Arabidopsis thaliana: one gene and its partners. The protein of the gene in region 1 interacts with the protein of each later gene in a pairwise test. Each region holds a gene or a part of one and is shown in the gene's direction. Other genes may lie near its edges.

Region 1 (5,739 bases):
TTTAGCGGCGGCGAATAGATCGTACGCGCCGTATAGTTTATGTCCATCGGGAGTTTCGCTGGTGGATTGTGACGGGAAAGTGTACAGAGGTTGGTATATGGAATCGGCGGCGTATAATCCTAGTATGGGACCAGTACAGGCGGCGTTGGTTGATTATGTGGCTAATGGTGGTGGAGGAGGATACGAGAGGATCGTCGGAGCGGTTCTGGTGGAGAAAGAAGATGCGGTGGTGAGGCAAGAGCACACGGCGAGGTTGTTATTAGAGACTATATCGCCGAAATGCGAATTCAAAGTGTTTCATTGCTATGAAGCTTAGAGAATCATTTAATTATCCGAAAAATAAAGGAATTTTAAAAAAAAAGGAATAAAAAGAAAATGAGACTTTTTAATTCTTAAAAGTGTTGAAATTGACGGAAAAAAAAAAAGTGTTGAAATTGATGTGATGGATAACACATAGAGAATAAGAAAAGTTTATATTTTTAAATTTGTTAAAAATGTTTATTGTATTAAAAAATTAAATTTAATACAATTATTATGTTTATGGAGTATTGTTAAAAAAAAAATTGTTGATATTAAATTTTTCCATTTTTTGATATTTTTTTTTAATATCCCCTTTGAAAATTTAATTTCGTCTATAAGGGATGGATTATGTGGATTAGATCAAATCGGCCAAATTTTATAAAATTGACAAGGTTTTCAAAAGTCTCAAATCGAATCAATGATTTTTTTTTTTACATGTCAAGTTATGATGTTTCTTTTATGTACGCAAAAAGGCAAAAATAAATGAACGTAATGATGGCTTTACACATTGAATTTGTTGGAATAAAGGTTCCAAATACGAAGTATGAGAAAGTAGAGAATATAAGATGGTCCACATGCAACTCTTACTATGAGTGGTGAACAATGAATCTAAAGATTTTTAGATTAGTTTCAAATGGAATGCTTTTTAAATAAAATGATATATAAGAGCATATTTTAGTAGGAACCTTCATACCAAAAATAAAGTAGGAACCTTAAAAACCTCTCAAGTTTCTCGTTATCTTCAACTTTTAGCATTACACATAAATACTAATCCTGGATTGACTTCTCTCAACTCAAAATTTCTATTAATTGTGTGTTCAAGAATAAAATATATTGATAATTATATGATTAGCGTGATTTTTATTTATTTATTTATCATGTACATGTAGTAGAGGCCTTTGCTAACTATGAAAGAAGGGGAATATCAATGGGAATATATAGAAGTGTGAAAGTATAAATCACATTTGGAAACAAGTGATTTATTTGATCAGTTAATTACTTTTGACAAGTTGATTATATTCATTTCTTCGAGTTTTTGGCAACTTGTTGAGTTATATGCATGGTATAAATTGATTTCATGTCCCTTCAAGAAAGTTCCTCACGTCACCATCGGGCTAAGAAGACATATTTACATACAGATGTCAACATTACGGACGATTACATGAACTTAAAAAACCTTAAAGCAAATTAATCATGATCTATAAAACGATTATATGAACTTAAAAACTCTAAAAAAAATTCATGATCAGTACCACCGATTACAGGAACTTTAAAATCCTTCCAACACTAATGATATTTTCAAATCCTTTACAAATAAATTTTCAAACATTTTAATGATTGTATTTCATATGGGCCTTAAATGGCCCAACTAACATATGTCAATAAGTCTAATACCAGAAAAGACTAGTACGTAGTAACAATTTAGTTAATTACCAAACGCCGTCGTTTTTCTCAACTCCGTTATTTCCTTTTTTTTCCTGGCGACTTATTTGATTTCGTGTCTCTCTCAAAGAATAAGGAAGACGCAGACGAAGAAGGTGACAATGGCGTACGTTAGTATGGGTGAAGCTCACCGGAGAATCACTGAATACCTAAACCGATTCTGCGACGCCGTTTCGTACCAAGACTCTTCTACACTTTGCCGTCTCCTCTCTTTCTCTTCCAATTCTCCACCTCTTCTCTCACTCGCCGACGCACTCAACGTCTTCCAGGTACATATATTCTCTGTTAAATCGAGACCCATGATTCAAATTAGCAGCTTGGAGTATGTTCCTGTGATTAGTGGCATGATCCTTGTAAATTGGTAAAGTTAGGTTCGATTTCAAATCCAGGATGCTTCTGATATGTTCCGATTGGGTTCTCGTATGAATTGTGAACACTAGGAGCATGGTTTTTATGTTAGCAAAGTTTGTAACTTTTAGGTTAAATCGATTCAATGTAAGATCCTTAAGAGTATGATTTTCTAATTGGGTCCTCCTACTTCACCAATGAGTATGAATTTCTGAATTTAGGGCTCAAAACACTAGGAACATTATCTTTATGTTAGCAAAGTGTGTATCTTTTAGGTTCAATCAATGTCAATCTAGGATCCTCCTACTTCACTAATGAGTATGATTTTCCAATTGGGTCCTCCTGCTTCACCAATGAGTATGAATTTAGGCCGTGAAAGTGTCTCCTATTGAGTTGTTGTAGTGAACACTCTATGTCTATGTTTGAGTTTATGAGTATGGATTTTAGATTTAGGGTTTTTATTTATATGTAGAGAGCTGTGAAAGTGCTGAATCCTTTGAGTTTTCTTTTCTTTGACTGATACAGGATTCTAGCAGTTTGATTAGACAGTCTGATAGATTCTCTGAATATGGCGAGATTCTGGCTCATGTGTTTCGTTCTCTACAAAGTTACCGAGTTGGGAATCTAGTCGAAGCATACCTTGCTTTCGATAAGTTTGCCAAGTAAAGTCTTCTTGTTCCTCTCTGCTCCTCTATTGATGTCTAATATGATTTCAGGGTGATAAGCTTTTTTTTTTGTCTGTTCACAATGTCTGATATCTGATGGATTCTATATGTGCAGTGCATTTGTTCAGGAGTTTCGTAATTGGGAATCTGCTTGGGCATTGGAAGCTCTGTATGTAGTTTGTTATGAAATTCGAGTTCTTGCGGAAAAGGTAGTATCTCATTTGTATATCCCTTTTTCAAAATCTTAACCTTGTCTGGTTTCATTGTGTCGAGGAGTCAGTTCTGAAAGCATGATTTTTCCACATGGAATTGCAGGCTGATAAAGATTTAACTTCTAATGGAAAGTCTCCAGAGAAATTAAAAGCAGCTGGGTCTCTTCTCATGAAAGTTTTTGGAGTTCTTGCTGTAAGTTTTCCCTTTGATCTATCTATATATCTTCAGGAATATTAGTTTATATTTGTGTTCAATATTTTTTCCGGCTCCTTATGTAGTTTTAAACTATAGGGGAAAGGTCCAAAACGAGTCGGAGCATTATATGTGACTTGCCAATTGTTCAAGACCTACTTTAAGGTGATATGCTTTCTGGCAACAGTTTGATATTTATGATTTAACCATTAAATGGAGTACTAAACAGGTATCCCCAATTTTGTATTTTAGCTTGGAACCGTCAATCTTTGTCGAAGTGTAATAAGAAGTATCGAAACTGCTCGGATATTTGACTTTGAGGAGTTTCCAAGAAGAGATAAGGTCTGGCGCAGTTCTCTGCAAACAGTTTTAGTTTTTGGCCTCCTTATTCGGTTACTTATTATCTTCTGTTTATTCTTCGCAAACACCAGGTTACATACATGTATTATACCGGCCGATTAGAAGTCTTCAACGAAAATTTTCCTGCTGTGAGTCACTAAGAGATTTTTTCTTACCATCACAGTTCATTTCGTAGTGTCAATCCAAATATTGATAGTAACATTTAATCTCTTTTTTTGGATCTTGCAGGCTGATACAAAGCTATCATATGCCTTGCAAAATTGCAACCCCAAAAGAGAACGAAATATAAGGTCTGATTCTGGTTTTACTCTGTGATTACCTTACTCTTGCATTGCGTTGCTTAATCAGCTAATGTGGCCTTATGTGAATCAGGATGATATTAAAGTATTTGGTACCGGTGAAGCTTTCTTTAGGAATTATACCAAAAGATGAGCTCCTGCGAAATTATAATCTGCATGAGGTAACGACTTTTCTGTTGTTCTATAAAATTTTCTTCGAATCTATGTCAAAACTTATTTCGCATCTGCTGAGTGATATCATATCTCTCTTAATCCTATTTCTCTACGTGTCCAGTACACAAAGATTGTGCAAGCTCTGAGAAAGGGTGATCTAAGGCTTCTCCGGCATGCTCTTCAAGAACATGAAGATCGGTATGTATTTCTTTCGATATCTTGCTTTTCTCATCTAATCCAAATGATAGAGTCCTTGTGGATACTCTAGAGCATGAGTATTGGAATTAGTATAGGCTGCTTGTAGTGGATTATATAGCTCTGCTGACAGGTCAGTAACACCTGGTTCTTAGGTAGAGAGCTAACAGGTTAAAAGAAAATTGGGGCAGAAAGAGTTGGGATGTTCTGGATTTGTCTAGGGGTTAGGATTTGCAGTTGGGTCGAGAGTAGAGTTGTGCAAGTCTCTATATGATGAGTATTTTGATTCTATCACCGAACAACTTAATATCTCGATCTAATACTCTTCTTTTATACAGGTTCTTGAGGTCGGGTGTGTATCTTGTCTTGGAAAAGCTAGAGCTCCAAGTCTACCAGAGACTCATGAAGAAAATGTAAGCAAAGACAAGCTATGATACCATCCAAGATTCTTGAGTTTATAACTCTTATTATTATCAATGTTTCAGTTATATAAACCAGAAGCTGAGTGATCCAGCGAGAGCTCACCAGCTGAAGCTTGAAGGGATTGCCAAAGCACTAAGATGGCTAGATATGGACATGGATCTGGACGAGGTTTGTTCTACAATACCATCCCATTCATTGCTTTTGACTTCTTCTAAAATTGAAATCTTCTATAAACTCACAGTTGTCAAAATAATACTGTATTTGCAGGTGGAATGTATAATGACGATATTGATATACAAAAACCTTGTGAAAGGTTATTTAGCTCACAAGAGCAAAGTGGTAGTTCTAAGCAAGCAAGATCCTTTCCCTAAACTAAACGGGAAGCCTGTTAGCTCATAAGTCTTCACGTGTTATTTTTTTTGTTGTATCAACAAACACTTTTTATTTTCTAATTGTGTGTAAAATTCATTCAAACAAAAAACAAAAACTGTTTTTACAATAGAAATGTGACTTTAAAACTGTGGAGTTTTCACCATGGTTGAGGAGTCTACTTACGAGTAAGGTCCAAATTTCCACTGAATATCGACATGAGAAGAATAAGTGATTACGAGTTTTAGTTTAGCAAAAAAAAGAAAAAGTGATTACGAGTCTCATTCGTATCTCCACAGAAAAATGCAATTTGATCTTTGGCGAGAGTTCCAGTTCCATACTTCCATTACCTTATTCTTTTTACATCAATAGGGGGCCTCATTGTTTTCTTCTCTACGATTACCACCTGAAGCAAAAAGACGATGAAGCCAACGAAGATCGTGATTCCGAACCGCCGCAACGAGAAGCTCGTGGGTCTGCTTCACGAAACTGGATCAAAAGAAGTTGTGGTCTTATGCCATGGCTTTAGATCGGACAAGACCAACAAGATTCTCAAAAACGTGGCTACAGCTTTGGAGAAAGAAAAAATCAGCTCTTTTCGTTTCGATTTCTCTGGTAACGGAGATAGTGAAGGAACTTTCTATTATGGTAACTTCAACAGTGAAGCAGAGGATGATCTGCATTACGTTATTCAACACTTGTCCTCCTCTAACATCATGAACCGTCTAGTTCCTGTCATTCTTGGTCATAGTAAAGGTGGTGATGTCGTTCTTCTCTAT
Region 2 (3,755 bases), on another chromosome or scaffold:
ATCGTTGTTTTCCGAGTACTTCCTCACATCTATCTACTGCTTCATATAACTGGTTCACTGCCTGGAGAGAAAAGGGATCAATTTTTGAATCCCTGTTCAAATGTTTAAGACATTGAGGGATATATACCTCATTATAGGGTTCTTGTTTCCTTGCAAACCCACATTTATAAACACCGTTGTTTATTCCGTTGAAAACCCATCCGTTAGTCTCGTTGATTACGTCTCTGAGATGAGAAGGATAAAGGTCAAGTGACGGGGTTTTCGCAATACCATTGAACTCAGTGTTGAACATCCGGATTATCTCTGAACTCTCATTGTTAACAACAGTCTTAAGCTTCTTATCCCAAAGAACCTAACATAATAACAAAACAAACATTCAAGAAACAGGACAAAGAAAGATTAAAGAGTTCACCAAAGAGATCAAAACTTACAGGAACAGTGTACTTCCCTTCATAGTTTGGGCTAGCAATCTCGTAGAGTTCTCTCACACTTTTGGCACCATTAAGATAGTCAGGCTCAGCTCCAGGGAGCTCGGTATCCGAATCCGGGAAAACCCATCCTCTATGATCATCAGTTTCCTTGGTTCTTCCCCAAATGGCATGAACCGACTAATCAAATCAAATAAAACAGAAATGCTTCAGGTTAACAAAGTCTTCTAATTCGATATGAGCAATGAATTTGTACTAACCGAGAAGGTGATTGCTTCATCAAGTCCTTTGATCTTTAAGTAAGAAAGACATCTACAAGCCCATGGACAAGCATAAGATATGTAAAGATGGTATCTTCCTGATTCAGCTGGAAACTGAGAATCAGGATCTTGTGAAACAAAGTTGCGGAATGTTGATGCTGTTCTTACAAAAGCTCCAGATTCTGATGTCTCATCAACCCCAGACCTAGCCATTTTGCTACTAATAAAAAATCAAACACGAAAATTCACATGACAAACGAAAAGAATAAAAATTTCAGAATGCACAATTTTTCTTTTTCACCTCAATAGAGTGAGTAAAGTTGAAAACTTTGAGAGATTTCTTATAGATGGTCACTTGTCACATAATCAATCTCAATTTTCTCTAGGTAAAGGATCACAGGAAACGAATCAAAGCATCAAAAAGTTCAGAAATTTCGAGTAGGGTTTTACTTAATTATCTCATTAGAGCTAGAAAAAGGTTAAAATAAAATGTTCATAATTCATAGCCTTCAAATATGATTTTCAACATTTATGGATCATTGGGCCAAAATCAAACCCAGAACTCAGAAAATGTCTAACAAGAACATGATTCATGCAGAGAAGAAGATAAGAGACAAAACCTGTTGACGACGATGTTATGTATTTGGCGTCGAATGTCGCTGTTTTGTGGCGATAAGGTTAAAGAAGAAAAAGTGAGCTTTAAGGAAAAATGGTAATGAGGGATGTCATCTTATAGTGAAAGAGAAGGAATCCGAAAAAGGACTTTGCTTTGTCTTCACTGCTCTGTCACGCCTAGCGAGTTAACTCAGACTAACGAGTTGACTCAGCTGGGTTCTGTGGGGAAAGCGTGACAACTTTTGGACCGGTTTGTATGTCATGGATTTGGTCAAGACGAATGCGACTATTGGACCGGTCTAAAACAGCTTCTTTTAAACCTCAATCGGATATTTTTAATATTGGGTCGGATTCGGTATGAATCATATAAGATTCGGGTCGGATTCGGTATGAATCATATAAGATTCGGGTCGGTTATTGGAAATTGGTAATTTTCCCCTTCTTCAAGTTAGACCCAAAACGAAAAAAAGGTTCGTTTAAAGAGCTCTGGTTGGGTTTAACTTGGAGGAATTAATCGAGTTTGGTGATCTTCTTCTTAGGTTTTTTTCTCGATCTGGTTGATTTGCTTAAACATCTGTAACTATGGCGGCAGAACCCAAGGCAGCTGTCGAAGTGGTGAAGGTGGATCTATTCGAGGACGACGATGAGTTCGAGGAATTTGAAATCAACGAAGGTGATTTTTTTGTTTTATACTAATTGCTTCTTTGATTTTCGAAATTGATTCATCATCGGTTATAAAATTAATGGAGATAAGAGCAAATTTCATTAGCAACTGATTTGGTGATTGATTAGGTTTTGGTATAAATACAAATTTTGATTCTGCACTGTCTTATACAAACTAAGATAGTCTCTATTGTATGAAGTTGGGTAGTTCTGATGCGAAAACGGATCTGTTTGATATATGTTTATGATGATGAAGCTACGGTCTCATAAACTTGATGGATAATAGTGCAGTTTTATGAGCAAACTACTGGTGATTATGTTTGCATTATTAATCGGCAAGGCTTCATGAGCTAAAGGGCCTAAAGGTTATGGTGGATTTAGGAATTATTTGGGGGCATTGAGTAGCTTGGGGGAGAGTTGTACAATTCAACTTAAGCTAGGATCAGTTTCTGATTTTAACAGATTTTGCTTTGCAATGTTAGTTCAGTCTTGAGATTTAACAAATAGCTTTATTGAAAGAATTGATAAAGATGGATATTTTTATTGTTATGTTTGGCAGATTGGTTGGAGAAAGAGGAAGTGAAGGAAGTTAGCCTGCAGTGGGAAGATGACTGGGATGATGATGATGTCAGTGACGACTTCTCGCGTCAGTTAAAGAAGGAGCTTGAGAATGCTAGTGAGAAGAAATGAGGTCCAAGATTGCGAGAAAGGCAGGTCTTCTCATTTAGGGAACCTTGGCTTTTTTGTTTGAATTGCATCCTTTGGTTTATCGTAGCATGTATCGGTTCTCCTTTTCCTTTACACATTATACTCTTCCTTGGATGCAAATTTCTCGTCTTTGAAGATGATAAATTTGAGCTGATAGTAATTCTATTCTGATAATCACCATCTTCTCTCAACACAGTGCGGTGTGGACATGGATTGGTTTACTATGTACATCACAAAATAACCGTAGAGATAACATTCAAATAGACATAGCTGATGTGCGTCACAACATTACATATAGTGTTAGCGTCCACAAGCCAGAAGCGAGAAAACATCATTTTGTTTCTAATATTAACATAAAATCTTGTGCAAGACAACAACCAAAAACGGAAAGCCTAATAACAACTTACCAATTTTCAAAAAGTTCACATCAGGCATAGGCATAGGGTATATGAAGACAGCAAAGATAAATGTAGCAGTCAAAGCCCTCAAGAAAACTTCTCCAATACCTAATTTTCTTCTTCTTCTTCTTCTTTGGAGAGTTTGGTAGTAATCTTGTAACCTCTTTAACAATGGCACCGACAAGAGCAAATTCGTTCCTGCAAAATGAGTGAAAGAAACTGATTAGACGACCTTACCACAAAGTCGATCTTACTACAAAACAAGAGTTCTATTAAATATTCTATTACATGTGTGCTTCCAAGCTCAAGCCAATCCTCCCTGTAACAGTAGATGACTTCAAGGATTTTTCCCAACTTTCAACCATCATTGGTTCCATAGCAAATCTCTCTTTTGTGTTTCTAAAATGTATTCCAAACTCTCCCTCAAGTCTTCTCACTTCGTTTGTTTTCACACTGTAGAAGACTGGAATGACCACGAGTTTTCCTTCCTTGGCAAGCTCTTCCATCTTCACAAGCTCGTTCAAACACCGATATGACTCAGAATACCTCTTTGAGAAGATGGCAAGCGCGATATTCGAGTTCTCTATACTCATGAACACTTCTTGTTTTTGTCCACTTCCTATAAGCTTGAAGCTGTCTTTGAAGACATTGATCCCTGAGTCTCTCAAAGCCCACACGAGATG
Region 3 (4,472 bases), on another chromosome or scaffold:
TGAAAAGGAAACTTTTTTGTCTCCTCTATAATTTTGGTGCAAAGAATAATTATATATGAATGTAAACGTTTAGTAAGACATGCTTTGATGAAAAAAGCTCATTTGGTAGCTTACTGGAAAGAGCTTTTTAACGGGGTCAATTATAAAACCTTAAAATAATATCTAGGCATCCCTCTTGGAGGACAACCAAAAAAAAAAAAAAAAAACTACTCTGTAGAGAACAAAAAGATGAAGTCTAGTTGGTAAAAATTTAAAGTTTTCGTGTTAATATTAGGTTGAAAAAACTATATTCTGTTAAAAAAAAAAAACATACACACAACTAATTAAATTGGACCTACAGTTATTTTTTCAACGTACTACGTATTTACGTTAGGTTAGATTATGATTGATCAAACGGGTTCTATTTATTAAAATTAAACAAATTTAATTGATACATTAATGTGTCACGAGTTCAACTAAGGAATTAAAATACTGTGCATGGAAATATTGAATTTGCATATACTGTACACGATGAGAATTAAATAAATTAAAATATATATATATATATATATACCCCAGCCTCGATTTGAAGTGGACAGGTTATTTTATTTCAAATAGAACGATATAAATCCACTGTATATCTATTATTTTTTAACAGAATTGGACCTACAAAAAAAAATCTGAAATTGTTGTATCGAAGTGAGTTGGTCAGTCAGAGATTATGATTGATCAAACCAGGTCCCATTCATCAAAATAAATGATATTTTTAGTTTTTTTTGTTGTTGGAGGAAATCAAAATTAATGAATATACAATGTACTAGAGGCATTCAACATATTTAATCGGATATATTAATGAATTCAAATATATTGTTTCCATGAAAAGAATTTACTATTTAGATACTAATCGATAATCATACTATTGAACTTCGATATTCACGGAGAGAAATTATAGAATATTAAATTTTGGATAAGGATTAGCTCCGATTTGAATTGTGGCTGAGAATGATATCGGTTCATGCTGGTCAAACAAGTCCCATGGTTTACTTAAAAAGGGAGAAATTAGCAAAATGGGTGAAATAGTCTGTTTTCTTTAAAAATTATAATTTATCAAACGACACATATATAATTACTTTTTATCTTAACCATGCATATAACACATAAAACAAAAACAAAGTTTTCCAAAATGTGATCATAGAGTAATTATGTATATACAAATCAACAATTGTAAGAAAAAATGAATCATCTCATAATATATAATTAACCAATAATGATTAGCAAATGATGTAAAAAATCAAAATTAATTAATTAAATTTCCTAAAAATATAAACTAAACAAGTACAGTATTTAGCTTGAAAAAAGATATTTATGAACAATCAATATATCACATGTTGTCTGTCGACAAAGACAAATGTAAAAAACAATCAATGACCTTTAATTTCATCATTTTGATTGTACTTGACTCGTGTTTTTTGTCTACCACGTCTCGTCGTCTCTTTGATTTATTATTGATTGATTCATTCATTTATAATTTCCACGTTTCAAAAATGTCACTAGCTAGCTAAGTTTATGTAGCTATATTCTTTTAACCTTAGTTCTCAATGCAGTAATAACCAAAAAAAGCAAAAAAACAATTGTTGACCAACAACAACAACCAAAAAAAAAAAACCACTATATAAGCATGCCCCATGACCCATATATGACACCACGAGAAGCAAATCAAAATCAGTTACTCTCCGTCCAAAATGGTGTTAGTGATTACAGAGCCAATTAAGAGTCAATCAAAGACGGTATGTGTGATAGGAGCAGGACCATCAGGGTTAGTGTCGGCGCGAGAGCTAAAGAAAGAAGGACATAAAGTGGTGGTGATGGAGCAAAACCACGACGTAGGAGGTCAGTGGTTATACCAACCAAACGTAGATGAAGAAGATACATTGGGAAAAACCAAAACCCTAAAAGTACATAGCAGTGTTTACTCATCCTTGAGGTTAGCTTCACCCAGAGAGGTAATGGGTTTCTCTGATTTCCCCTTCATCGCGAAGGAAGGAAGAGACTCGAGGAGATTCCCAGGGCATGAGGAGCTTTTGTTGTATCTTAAGGATTTTTGTCAAGTGTTTGGGTTAAGAGAGATGATTAGGTTTAATGTTAGGGTTGAGTTTGTGGGAATGGTGAATGAAGATGATGATGATGATGATGATGTGAAGAAATGGATGGTGAAGAGTGTAAAGAAAAGTGGTGAGGTTATGGAAGAAGTGTTTGATGCTGTTGTTGTTGCCTCTGGCCATTACTCTTATCCTAGATTGCCTACAATTAAAGGTATTGTTTTTGTCTAAATTATATGTAAAGCTATAATTTGGAGTCCGTGTGTAATTATGTTTAAGTTCATAATCAAAATGGTTTTGGTGTTTTAAATACAGGTATGGATTTGTGGAAGAGGAAGCAACTTCATAGCCATATATATAGAGTGCCTGAGCCTTTTTGTGATGAGGTTATTAATTGTAGTAATTAGTGAATAAACTTGATGATTTCATGATGTTTATATGAAGCATGCATGCATGATGATGATGATGGTAGGTAGTGGTGGTCGTTGGATGCTCAATGAGTGGACAAGACATATCAATAGAGCTTGTGGAAGTGGCAAAGGAAGTTCATCTAAGTACCAAATCACTTGATATTCCTCCTGGCTTGTCCAAAGTCATTGAAAAACATCAAAATCTCCATCTTCATCCTCAGGTACGGTCTTACCATCACATCACATATATACATCTTATTCAAATCATTTAAAATCTTTTGTTTTATTTTTCAAATGGTTGTAGATTGAATCTCTGGAAGAAGATGGACGGGTCATTTTCGAAGATGGGTCTTGCATTGTAGCCGACACTATTTTATACTGTACCGGGTAAGTTAATATTTCTTTCCACGACAAGATCACTTTCATCTCCTTATTTCTTGGGGCCGACATATGAATAGTTACAGAAAAAATGTCAGAATTGTGGATTCTATACATGAATATATAAACATTTCTTGACATTTTTAGATTTGAGAAATTTTATGTTTACTAACAAAAAAAAAAAACTAAAAATGTGGGCACAAATACGTGTAGGTATGAGTACAAATTTCCATTTCTTGAGAGCAAAGGAAGAGTAGAGATTGATGATAATAGAGTTGGACCACTCTTCGAACATACTTTCTCTCCTTCTCTATCCCCTTTTCTCTCCTTTGTCGGAATCCCTCGAAAGGTACAATGATTAGTACTTACTTACTAATCATTATGATTTATATAAATCAATCTTTCGTTAGTTAAATCGAGGATTAAAAACCGGTTAATTGCAGTTGATAGGGTTCCCATTCTTTGAATCACAAGCTAAATGGATTGCAAAGCTTTTGTCAGGCAAAACTTCACTTCCTTCCTCTGATCAAATGATGCAATCAATCTCTGATTTCTATCTCGCCAGAGAAGCTGACGGAATCCCTAAACGTAACACTCACGACATCGCCGATTTCAATGTAGTACAAAGTTTCTCCCTTTTTTTGTTTACTCAAAAAGTTTCGATCTTTTTCATCTGATAAAGCTCTGTTTTTTTGTTTTTGGATATTTGCAGTATAGCGATAAATACGCGGATTACATCGGATTTCCACATCTGGAGGAATGGAGAAAGGTCTTGTGTTTATCGGCTATATTGAATTCCATCGAAAATCTAGAGACTTATCGTGACTCTTGGGACGATGATGATCTTCTTCAAGAAACTCTTCAAGACCCTTACTTTACCCAACTTTCAATTCCTTCTGTTTGATAAAAACAAGATTTATCTTTTGTCTAAATGAATAAAAACGCTAAAGGTCTAAACTTTCTGTAGTATATTTGTATGTAAACTTCTTTTTTGAAGTACCATCTAGCTTACAAATTCATCTTCTTTTTGATGAACTTGTAAAAAGCAAAAACCCAAAAGTTTCACTGTTTTAGTATATATCTCCTATGTGGTGTGATTACTGTAACTAGACTTTGATTCTTCAAGAATCTGAAAGCAAAAAAGGTATGTAAGCTTTGGTATTAGCAGGCAGGACTTCTGATGCCTCTTCTTCGTTTTGTTACGGTTCCCCAATCGATTACCATATAGCTTGAGTGAGCATCATTCGTCTCAGTAGCTTCACTTGGCCTTTCTATCTTCTGTAGAACCTTAGAGGCTTTGTTTCCGTTAAAAGTGCTTAGGCTCGGGAGAAACTCGTTGTGTTGTTGACGCTTTCCTCGACTGTGCAGGGTCCTCTTGTGTTTAGGAGTAGCAAAGTTATAGACTGGAGTGTTTGTTCTTTGCTCCTCTGACTTCATCTCTGTTAGCTGCAGTGTCATTGCCTCGGGATAGTCATTGTTACTAGAGTTGAATCCGGGCACTGATAATCCAACTTCACTCTTTGAGTCCTCAACAACCGAAGATGCGATTCTAGCAAACCAATGCAGAGGAGTGATACAATCAGAGGTTTTGATGCTTGACTTTCTA
Region 4 (7,740 bases), 7.6 Mb from region 1:
AACCTCCTCTATCGCCGTGTTAAACACCAACCTCTCGGCCGCCACAAGCCTCCTTGTATGGACTACACTTGATGTCATCTTCTTTGGCAAACCTTCTGTCATCGGAGCAATTCAAGGCATGGTTACTGGCTTAGCCGGCGTCACTCCCGGAGCAGGTTTCAGTCATCTTCTTTTCAAGTTTTTTGTTTACTCTAAGTCTCTAAGTTTATTTATGATTAAGGTTGAATTATGTGGAAACTTATTAATATTGCATTGTTAATTTATTATACTGACAAATAAGATATCTATTGCAGGTTTGATCCAAACATGGGCAGCTATAATAATTGGAGTAGTCTCAGGAACAGCTCCATGGGCCTCTATGATGATCATTCACAAGAAATCCGCTCTCCTTCAAAAGGTAATTTAGATCATAAATCCCATTTTAATTTCATAACCAACAAAAAAAAAAAAAAAATGTTTTACCTTATTAGAAAAACGAAAATGTTTCAATTGTAGAATTAAGGTATTAGTAATAACAAACGAATGATTTGAACTGTAATATTTTGATTGGGTTGAAATAAACAGGTGGATGATACATTAGCGGTGTTTTACACACACGCCGTGGCTGGTTTACTTGGTGGAATAATGACAGGGTTGTTTGCACACCCTGATCTCTGCGTTTTGGTACTTCCTCTCCCAGCGACCAGAGGAGCTTTCTACGGTGGCAATGGCGGCAAACAGCTTTTGAAACAGTTGGCTGGAGCTGCCTTCATTGCCGTCTGGAATGTGGTGTCGACTACTATCATTCTACTCGCTATTAGGGTGTTCATACCATTGAGAATGGCTGAGGAAGAGCTCGGGATTGGAGACGACGCAGCACATGGGGAAGAAGCTTATGCTCTTTGGGGAGATGGAGAGAAGTTTGATGCTACAAGGCATGTGCAACAGTTTGAGAGAGATCAAGAAGCTGCTCATCCTTCTTATGTTCATGGTGCTAGAGGTGTCACCATTGTTCTATGATTTTTCTTCTTCTTTTTCTTATTTATTTTTTGTGTATTGATTTCCTTATGACATTAGAGATGTGAATGAGTTATTTGTGTTCTGTATAGGTGGTAAAACTTCACTTTTCATATTTTTTGGTGTGTATTTGGAGTTAACAACCATTTGTGATTTTGTTGAAATGAAAACATAGAGTTCGTGAACAAATGTACCTTGTAACCATTTTAAATTCAGTTAAAGTAATTTCCTCAAGTCATTTGGCTAATAAGTAATTTCCTTAATCACTTTTTCCTTGGGCCACAAATAAAAAAGAAAAGCATGAGACTGAGACCATGTAATCTGGACTCGAGCTAACATTAGACCCATAGTTCTCTTGATATTTAGTGCCAAAGGCCCAACACCTAGTTTTCTTAAAATGATAGTGTTAACCTTAATTCCCTTATTTCTTAGGGATTTTGATGTGTTAATGTTTAATGAAGAACTTTCTTCCGTTTTATATTTTGTACAATATTTATGAAAATGATTTTTTATTTGAACAAACTAAAAAATATGAAGAGTTTTCACTTTCACGTATAAAAGCAAACATAAAATAAAATAAAAAAATTGGACAGATAAAAACAAAAATTGGTGTCTGAAATAATTGAACACTAATGAAGAAATTATTTGTCTATAAAACTCTGCCCCTATAATTATCAGCACTTTTAGTTTTTAGCCATAAAGGTTTCAACTTTTATCAAAGACCCAGCCTTTTTGCAAGTGGCGTGGTTTCACTCGTTGGGCCTATAAATAACAACTCAACCTCGACCTCCCACCATCGCCACTAAAACGAAATCGTGGTCTTACTCTCTCTTCTGAGTTCTGACCTGAGCACACACACAGAGATTTTGATTGTGTCACTCATGGAACCCAATATTTACCAACTTGCCCTCGCGGCTCTATTCGGAGCTTCCTTCGTTGCTGTTTCTGGGTTTTTCATGCATTTCAAGGCACTGAATCTAGTCCTTGAGCGTGGTAAGGAGCGTAAAGAGAACCCTGATGGAGACGAGCCTCAAAATCCGACCTTGGTGAGGCGGCGGAGCCAAGTTAGAAGGAAGGTTAATGACCAATATGGTCGCAGTCCTGCTTCTCTTCCAGATGCCACTCCTTTTACCGATGGTGGCGGCGGCGGCGGCGGTGATACAGGACGGAGCAACGGTCACGTTTATGTCGATGAAATTCCTCCTGGTCTCCCTAGGCTTCATACGCCATCTGAAGGTATGAGAACCAAACCTGAATTGATCAGATTAGATTGTGGATTATAAAAATTGATCCTTTAATCCTTTGATGATGCTGATAGATAGTTTGTGATTGCTTTTTTTCAGGGAGAGCTTCTGTACATGGAGCTAGTAGTATCAGGAAAACTGGAAGCTTTGTTAGACCAATATCTCCGAAATCCCCTGTTGCTAGTGCTAGTGCTTTTGAGAGTGTGGAAGAATCAGATGATGATGATAATTTGACTAATAGTGAGGGTTTAGATGCTTCCTACTTGCAAGCTAATGGTGACAATGAGATGGTGAGTTTCTTTATTTATCATTACTTTTTCAATCCCTGTTCTGTGATTGAATAGGTGGGTTTACAAGTAAGATGTTTTTTGCAGCCTGCAGATGCTAATGAAGAACAAATATCTATGGCTGCTTCAAGTATGATTCGATCCCATAGTGTGTCTGGTGACTTACATGGAGTTCAGCCTGATCCTATTGCTGCTGACATTCTTCGTAAGGAGCCAGAGCAAGAGACCTTTGTCCGTCTTAATGTTCCTCTTGGTAAGAATGGTCACTTTTTGTTTCGTTCTGTCATCTTGCCTTACTTCTGGTTCCTGTATGCTTAGTACTCTTTTCCTATTGTTACAAATCATGACATGTTTGTTTTATAAGTCCCACTACTTGAAAAGTTTTTTGCTAGTGGCAAGTAATTAAGTGGAGTTACGGACAATTAAATAAGTAGTCTTGAGTAAGAGAAGCAAGGGTCAGTTAAGGCTTTACTCAGTGTGGGAGCTGAGCCATTGAAATTCTTAGATTATAGTTTAAGAATTATAGCTTGAAACGGTTAAGACGTCAACACATATCTTATTCATATTTTACTCATGATCTGTTTAGAGGTGCCAACGTCCGATGAAGTTGAAGCCTATAAATGTCTGCAAGAATGTCTTGAACTGCGGAAGAGGTATGTCTTCCAAGAAACAGTTGCACCATGGGAAAAAGAAGTCATATCTGATCCTAGTACTCCAAAGCCTAATACAGAGCCATTTGCACACTATCCTCAGGGAAAATCTGATGTGAGTCTATACTCCTTATATATGTCATCAAACACCATGCATTGATGAATTAAACTTCCCAATCTTTGTTTTTACAGCATTGTTTTGAGATGCAAGATGGGGTTGTCCACGTGTTTGCAAATAAAGATGGTAAGAGTCCTAGTATTAAAATTCTAATGCTTCTTTTTCCTTTACTCATAATAGTTGATTTGGTTGCATTCTTTTGCTTTTCGAATAACTGACCCTTCTTCTGTTTCATAATTCCCAGCAAAAGAAGATCTCTTCCCGGTAGCTGATGCCACAGCGTTTTTCACTGACTTGCATCACGTACTCAAAGTCATAGCTGCAGGAAACATCCGGACTTTGTGCCACCGTCGACTAGTGCTCCTAGAACAGGCAAGAGTTTTATTTAGAGAAGAATGAATGTCAATAAGCAAGTTTCGTCTTGTTAACAGTATGTCTATTTTTTGTTTCAGAAATTTAATCTCCATTTGATGCTTAATGCGGATAAAGAATTTCTTGCTCAAAAAAGTGCACCACATCGTGATTTTTATAACGTTAGGAAAGTCGACACTCATGTGCATCATTCAGCTTGCATGAACCAGAAACACCTTTTAAGGTTTATTAAGTCAAAGCTCCGGAAAGAACCCGATGAGGTAACAATGGCAAACTATATGTTTTAGGATAGTATACAATTTGCTGATATGCAGATATGATAATTTCTTGCTCCTTTATACAGGTTGTAATATTCCGAGATGGAACATATTTGACCTTGAGAGAAGTTTTTGAGAGCCTGGATCTGACTGGGTAATTACATTTCCAACTTCTTAGAATTCCCAACTTAACTCTATCTGAATCTGATGGCTGCAAGACTATTAGATTACCCTCTTAGGAGCCTCCTAGTTGTTGCGCACCGCAGATTGCCTGTATTGCATTTTTTACCATTTTTACCATGACACCGAAGAAATTAACCTTTTTCCCTTTGTTTGAACATTGCACAGATATGACCTGAACGTCGACCTTTTGGATGTTCATGCAGACAAAAGTACCTTTCATCGTTTTGATAAGTTCAACCTAAAGTATAACCCTTGTGGTCAAAGTAGGCTTAGGGAGATTTTCCTTAAACAGGATAATCTCATCCAAGGTAATTGAATACTCCAGTCACTCTTATTACCGTTTTTAGTTCATTTGATGCATCAGTTATGCACTCTCAGTTGCCTGACATTTATTTTCGTTTGGTTTAAGGTCGATTTCTTGGTGAGATAACAAAGCAAGTCTTCTCTGACCTTGAAGCTAGTAAATATCAGGTAAACGCCACATGCATCTTTGTTATTTTTATTCTTGATCAACTGCAGTGGTCTTATGCATTTAGAACGAACATTATAAGAGAGGAACACTGTTAGAATCAAATCCATTCTAACTAAGCTTTTGATATAATGATTTACTGGGAATACATAGAGACTTAGGATTTGGTAATGGATCTCCTCCTATTCCCCCTTACAAATGCAAAGCTTGCTATTTCTTGTTGCATATGCTTTATAGCTGCATTAAACTTTAACTCATTTGTTATATTAGGAAAAGATATAGTAGTAAAATCCTTGGATTTTAGTCTCAGTAACCATATCAAACTCACACTCCCTCACATATGCGCATTGACTTGAGTTCCAAAAAACATCATGGCATTGCTCAAATTCTGTGTCAAGAAATCTTCTTGCCAAAGCAGATCCATAATTGCTCTGTTTTGTTTTTCCTGATGTCTACGTTGAACACTGCAGATGGCTGAATACAGAATATCTATATATGGCAGAAAAATGAGCGAGTGGGACCAACTCGCTAGTTGGATTGTGAACAATGATCTATACAGTGAGAATGTTGTCTGGTTAATTCAGGTTAGCCATCTCTTTGATACTTGTGTGCTCCATGTCCTTCCATGAGTGTATGTGTTTTTTTTGTCTCCGTGTGTTTGTAACATGACTGCTAACTGAGCTATATTTTCCTTGTTTTCTGTTTGTCTGCTCACTAGCTCCCACGCTTGTACAACATTTACAAGGACATGGGTATTGTGACATCGTTCCAGAATATCCTGGACAATATATTCATTCCTCTGTTTGAAGCCACGGTAGATCCTGATTCCCATCCTCAGCTCCATGTTTTTTTGAAGCAGGTTAGCATTCATATCTTCAAATAACCTCTAATCCGCATGTCTTTACACAATAAAGAGTTGGTTTGACTGGTTGCTGTCTCTTGTTTGCTATTTCAGGTTGTTGGATTTGATTTGGTTGATGATGAAAGCAAACCTGAAAGACGTCCCACAAAACACATGCCCACTCCAGCTCAATGGACTAACGCATTCAATCCTGCATTTTCGTATTATGTCTACTATTGTTATGCTAACCTCTATGTGTTAAATAAGGTACCATTCCTCTTAGTCGCTTCTGTAACTAACTTGGTGTTCTCAAAACTGTGTAATATGGAGTAACTATTTTTCTTCAGCTTCGAGAGTCAAAGGGCATGACTACTATCACGCTACGACCACATTCTGGAGAGGTGTGTTATTTCTTCCTTTGTGCTAGATAAACAGTTTTCAGTTACAGTTCAGTGGAATTTTAACATGTCTACAAATTTCAGGCTGGTGACATTGACCACTTGGCTGCTACGTTTCTAACATGCCATAGCATCGCACATGGAATCAATCTGCGAAAGTCTCCTGTGCTTCAGTATCTGTACTACCTCGCCCAGGTTTGTGGAGACTGCCTGCATGTATTACATATGTATTATTGTTTCTGTTCTAAGAAGACATTTCTTTTGACAGATTGGTCTGGCCATGTCACCACTGAGCAACAACTCTTTGTTTCTAGATTACCACCGGAACCCGTTTCCTGTGTTTTTCTTAAGAGGTCTCAATGTTTCTCTGTCTACTGATGACCCCCTTCAGATTCACTTAACTAAAGAACCTCTCGTGGAAGAGTATAGCATAGCTGCATCAGTAAGTCATAATCTTTCCATTATGCAGTCTTGCCACACATCATAGGCCTTGAAAAGTTGATTATATTTTTAAAAGTCTTATTAGTTATTACCTTTAAATGATTTATACTGATCTTCTGCAATTGCAAACACGAAGAACAATGAAATTTCTCTCTATACATCCTTTTCTTCTAGGTTTTAGTTATATTTATGTATTAACTGAAGATGATAACTGGATTTTTCAGGTTTGGAAGCTGAGTGCGTGTGACCTGTGCGAGATAGCTCGTAACTCAGTGTACCAGTCAGGTTTCTCACACGCCCTGAAGGTACTTGTTATATCAACATGGCCCATAGTATGAATGAACAAGATGTCTCTGTTCCGATCTACTAATAATACTAACTTGTTGAGATGTTCCAGTCGCACTGGATTGGAAAAGATTACTACAAAAGAGGACCTGATGGAAACGACATTCACAAAACAAACGTGCCACACATAAGGGTGGAGTTCCGTGACACGGTATGGAATGAAATATATTTATTCTTCACACAAGTTAATTTCTCTTTGTAGGAAAACAAATTAAAAATATGAAGTTGATGCAGATCTGGAAAGAGGAGATGCAACAGGTTTATCTGGGCAAGGCTGTTATCTCTGATGAAGTTGTTCCATAAAAACCACAATCAGAAATGGCAAGACGTAAGAATCCAACATGTATGTAACAACTCAATGATCTTATCACTTCTGTTACAACATTTTCTTATGATGTCAATGATTGAATTTCAGATTGCAGGGGAACAAAGAGAGCATTTTGAGAAGTATACGAAAGCAGGAACCTAGTAGATAGGGTAATAATATGAGTGGCTCTGTGCCCTGAGAAAGCGATTAGGCTGTGCCAAAATCTTATTGTTTTATAAAGCTTTTTAGATAATGAGATACAAAGAGACCAGTTGAGAACCGGTTTTAATATAATGGATTTCAGTTTTTGGATTACATACTGTTTTAACTTGGATTCAGATTCAATTTTTAATCAGAAATAGCATTATGTTCGAAATCCAATTTTGTTTGTTTGTTTTGGTTCTGTTTTAAACCATACTGAGATCTGTTTACCGGATTAAACACATGTTTTTGGGTCACATTGGTAGATTTGGCTTGATCATGAAGTGAACTAGACAAATGTTCCTTTTGTTTCATAACAGACTGAAGTATGGAATGTGTAAGAAAAAAGAAACTAAAGCGGGTCCCACTTTTCCGAATTATGGTATTTAAAACCCAAGTATCATAAGGCCTTAATAACAGTCCAATTCAGGCCCAATGGATAAAATCCTATGTCAAATAAAAGAGCTCATCATTTTCCACCGATAACTTTTCTCAGCTCCGACAAAAATGGCTGCAATCACCATTTCTTCCTCCTTGCACGCCTCAGCCTCTCCGCGTGTTGTTCGTCCACATGTTTCTCGAAATACCCCTGTGATCACCCTCTATTCACGCTTCACACCATCCTTCTCCT

The links.
Region 2: the proteins of EER5 (region 1) and DSS1(V) interact in a two-hybrid assay, tested with the Arabidopsis thaliana proteins (one study listed by BioGRID).
Region 3: the proteins of EER5 (region 1) and AT5G61290 interact in a two-hybrid assay, tested with the Arabidopsis thaliana proteins (one study listed by BioGRID).
Region 4: the proteins of EER5 (region 1) and FAC1 interact in a two-hybrid assay, tested with the Arabidopsis thaliana proteins (one study listed by BioGRID).

What each region holds. Positions count from the first base shown.
Region 1 is NC_003071.7:8,465,175-8,470,913, reverse strand, and holds EER5 (proteasome family protein), read left to right. Parts: upstream 1-1,768; 5' UTR 1,769-1,844; coding exon 1,845-2,012; intron 2,013-2,616; coding exon 2,617-2,753; intron 2,754-2,842; exon of another isoform or gene 2,843-2,863; coding exon of another isoform or gene 2,864-2,871; coding exon 2,872-2,965; intron 2,966-3,071; coding exon 3,072-3,161; intron 3,162-3,260; coding exon 3,261-3,326; intron 3,327-3,413; coding exon 3,414-3,503; intron 3,504-3,592; coding exon 3,593-3,649; intron 3,650-3,749; coding exon 3,750-3,811; intron 3,812-3,893; coding exon 3,894-3,981; intron 3,982-4,094; coding exon 4,095-4,171; intron 4,172-4,506; coding exon 4,507-4,581; intron 4,582-4,653; coding exon 4,654-4,759; intron 4,760-4,858; coding exon 4,859-4,990; 3' UTR 4,991-5,224; downstream 5,225-5,739. Other genes in the region: CDA1 (cytidine deaminase 1), read left to right, coding at 1-316; AT2G19550 (alpha/beta-Hydrolases superfamily protein), read left to right, coding at 5,383-5,739. UniProt on the Arabidopsis thaliana protein: Involved in the regulation of ethylene response. Probable TREX-2 component required for nuclear RNA export.
Region 2 is NC_003076.8:18,166,352-18,170,106, reverse strand, and holds DSS1(V) (DSS1 homolog on chromosome V), read left to right. Parts: upstream 1-1,723; 5' UTR 1,724-1,885; coding exon 1,886-1,976; intron 1,977-2,525; coding exon 2,526-2,656; 3' UTR 2,657-3,101; downstream 3,102-3,755. Other genes in the region: AT5G45020 (Glutathione S-transferase family protein), read right to left, coding at 1-61, 128-352, 432-608, 689-901; AT5G45000 (Disease resistance protein (TIR-NBS-LRR class) family), read right to left, coding at 3,102-3,270, 3,361-3,755. UniProt on the Arabidopsis thaliana protein: Subunit of the 26S proteasome which plays a role in ubiquitin-dependent proteolysis. Also associates with the TREX-2 complex that is required for transcription-coupled mRNA export.
Region 3 is NC_003076.8:24,646,878-24,651,349, forward strand, and holds AT5G61290 (Flavin-binding monooxygenase family protein), read left to right. Parts: upstream 1-1,650; 5' UTR 1,651-1,721; coding exon 1,722-2,292; intron 2,293-2,393; coding exon 2,394-2,464; intron 2,465-2,550; coding exon 2,551-2,709; intron 2,710-2,792; coding exon 2,793-2,875; intron 2,876-3,079; coding exon 3,080-3,215; intron 3,216-3,309; coding exon 3,310-3,483; intron 3,484-3,578; coding exon 3,579-3,770; 3' UTR 3,771-3,938; downstream 3,939-4,472. Other genes in the region: AT5G61300 (uncharacterized protein), read right to left, coding at 4,028-4,472. UniProt on the Arabidopsis thaliana protein: Catalyzes the conversion of methylthioalkyl glucosinolates of any chain length into methylsulfinylalkyl glucosinolates.
Region 4 is NC_003071.7:16,032,931-16,040,670, reverse strand, and holds FAC1 (AMP deaminase, putative / myoadenylate deaminase), read left to right. Parts: upstream 1-1,698; 5' UTR 1,699-1,877; coding exon 1,878-2,232; intron 2,233-2,339; coding exon 2,340-2,530; intron 2,531-2,614; coding exon 2,615-2,780; intron 2,781-3,113; coding exon 3,114-3,292; intron 3,293-3,369; coding exon 3,370-3,421; intron 3,422-3,539; coding exon 3,540-3,667; intron 3,668-3,747; coding exon 3,748-3,927; intron 3,928-4,010; coding exon 4,011-4,078; intron 4,079-4,272; coding exon 4,273-4,415; intron 4,416-4,516; coding exon 4,517-4,578; intron 4,579-5,046; coding exon 5,047-5,160; intron 5,161-5,294; coding exon 5,295-5,435; intron 5,436-5,531; coding exon 5,532-5,684; intron 5,685-5,764; coding exon 5,765-5,818; intron 5,819-5,899; coding exon 5,900-6,010; intron 6,011-6,083; coding exon 6,084-6,257; intron 6,258-6,480; coding exon 6,481-6,561; intron 6,562-6,653; coding exon 6,654-6,752; intron 6,753-6,835; coding exon 6,836-6,904; 3' UTR 6,905-6,944; and 3 more. Other genes in the region: AMT2 (ammonium transporter 2), read left to right, coding at 1-155, 294-397, 565-999; CXIP2 (CAX-interacting protein 2), read left to right, coding at 7,617-7,740. UniProt on the Arabidopsis thaliana protein: AMP deaminase plays a critical role in energy metabolism. Essential for the transition from zygote to embryo.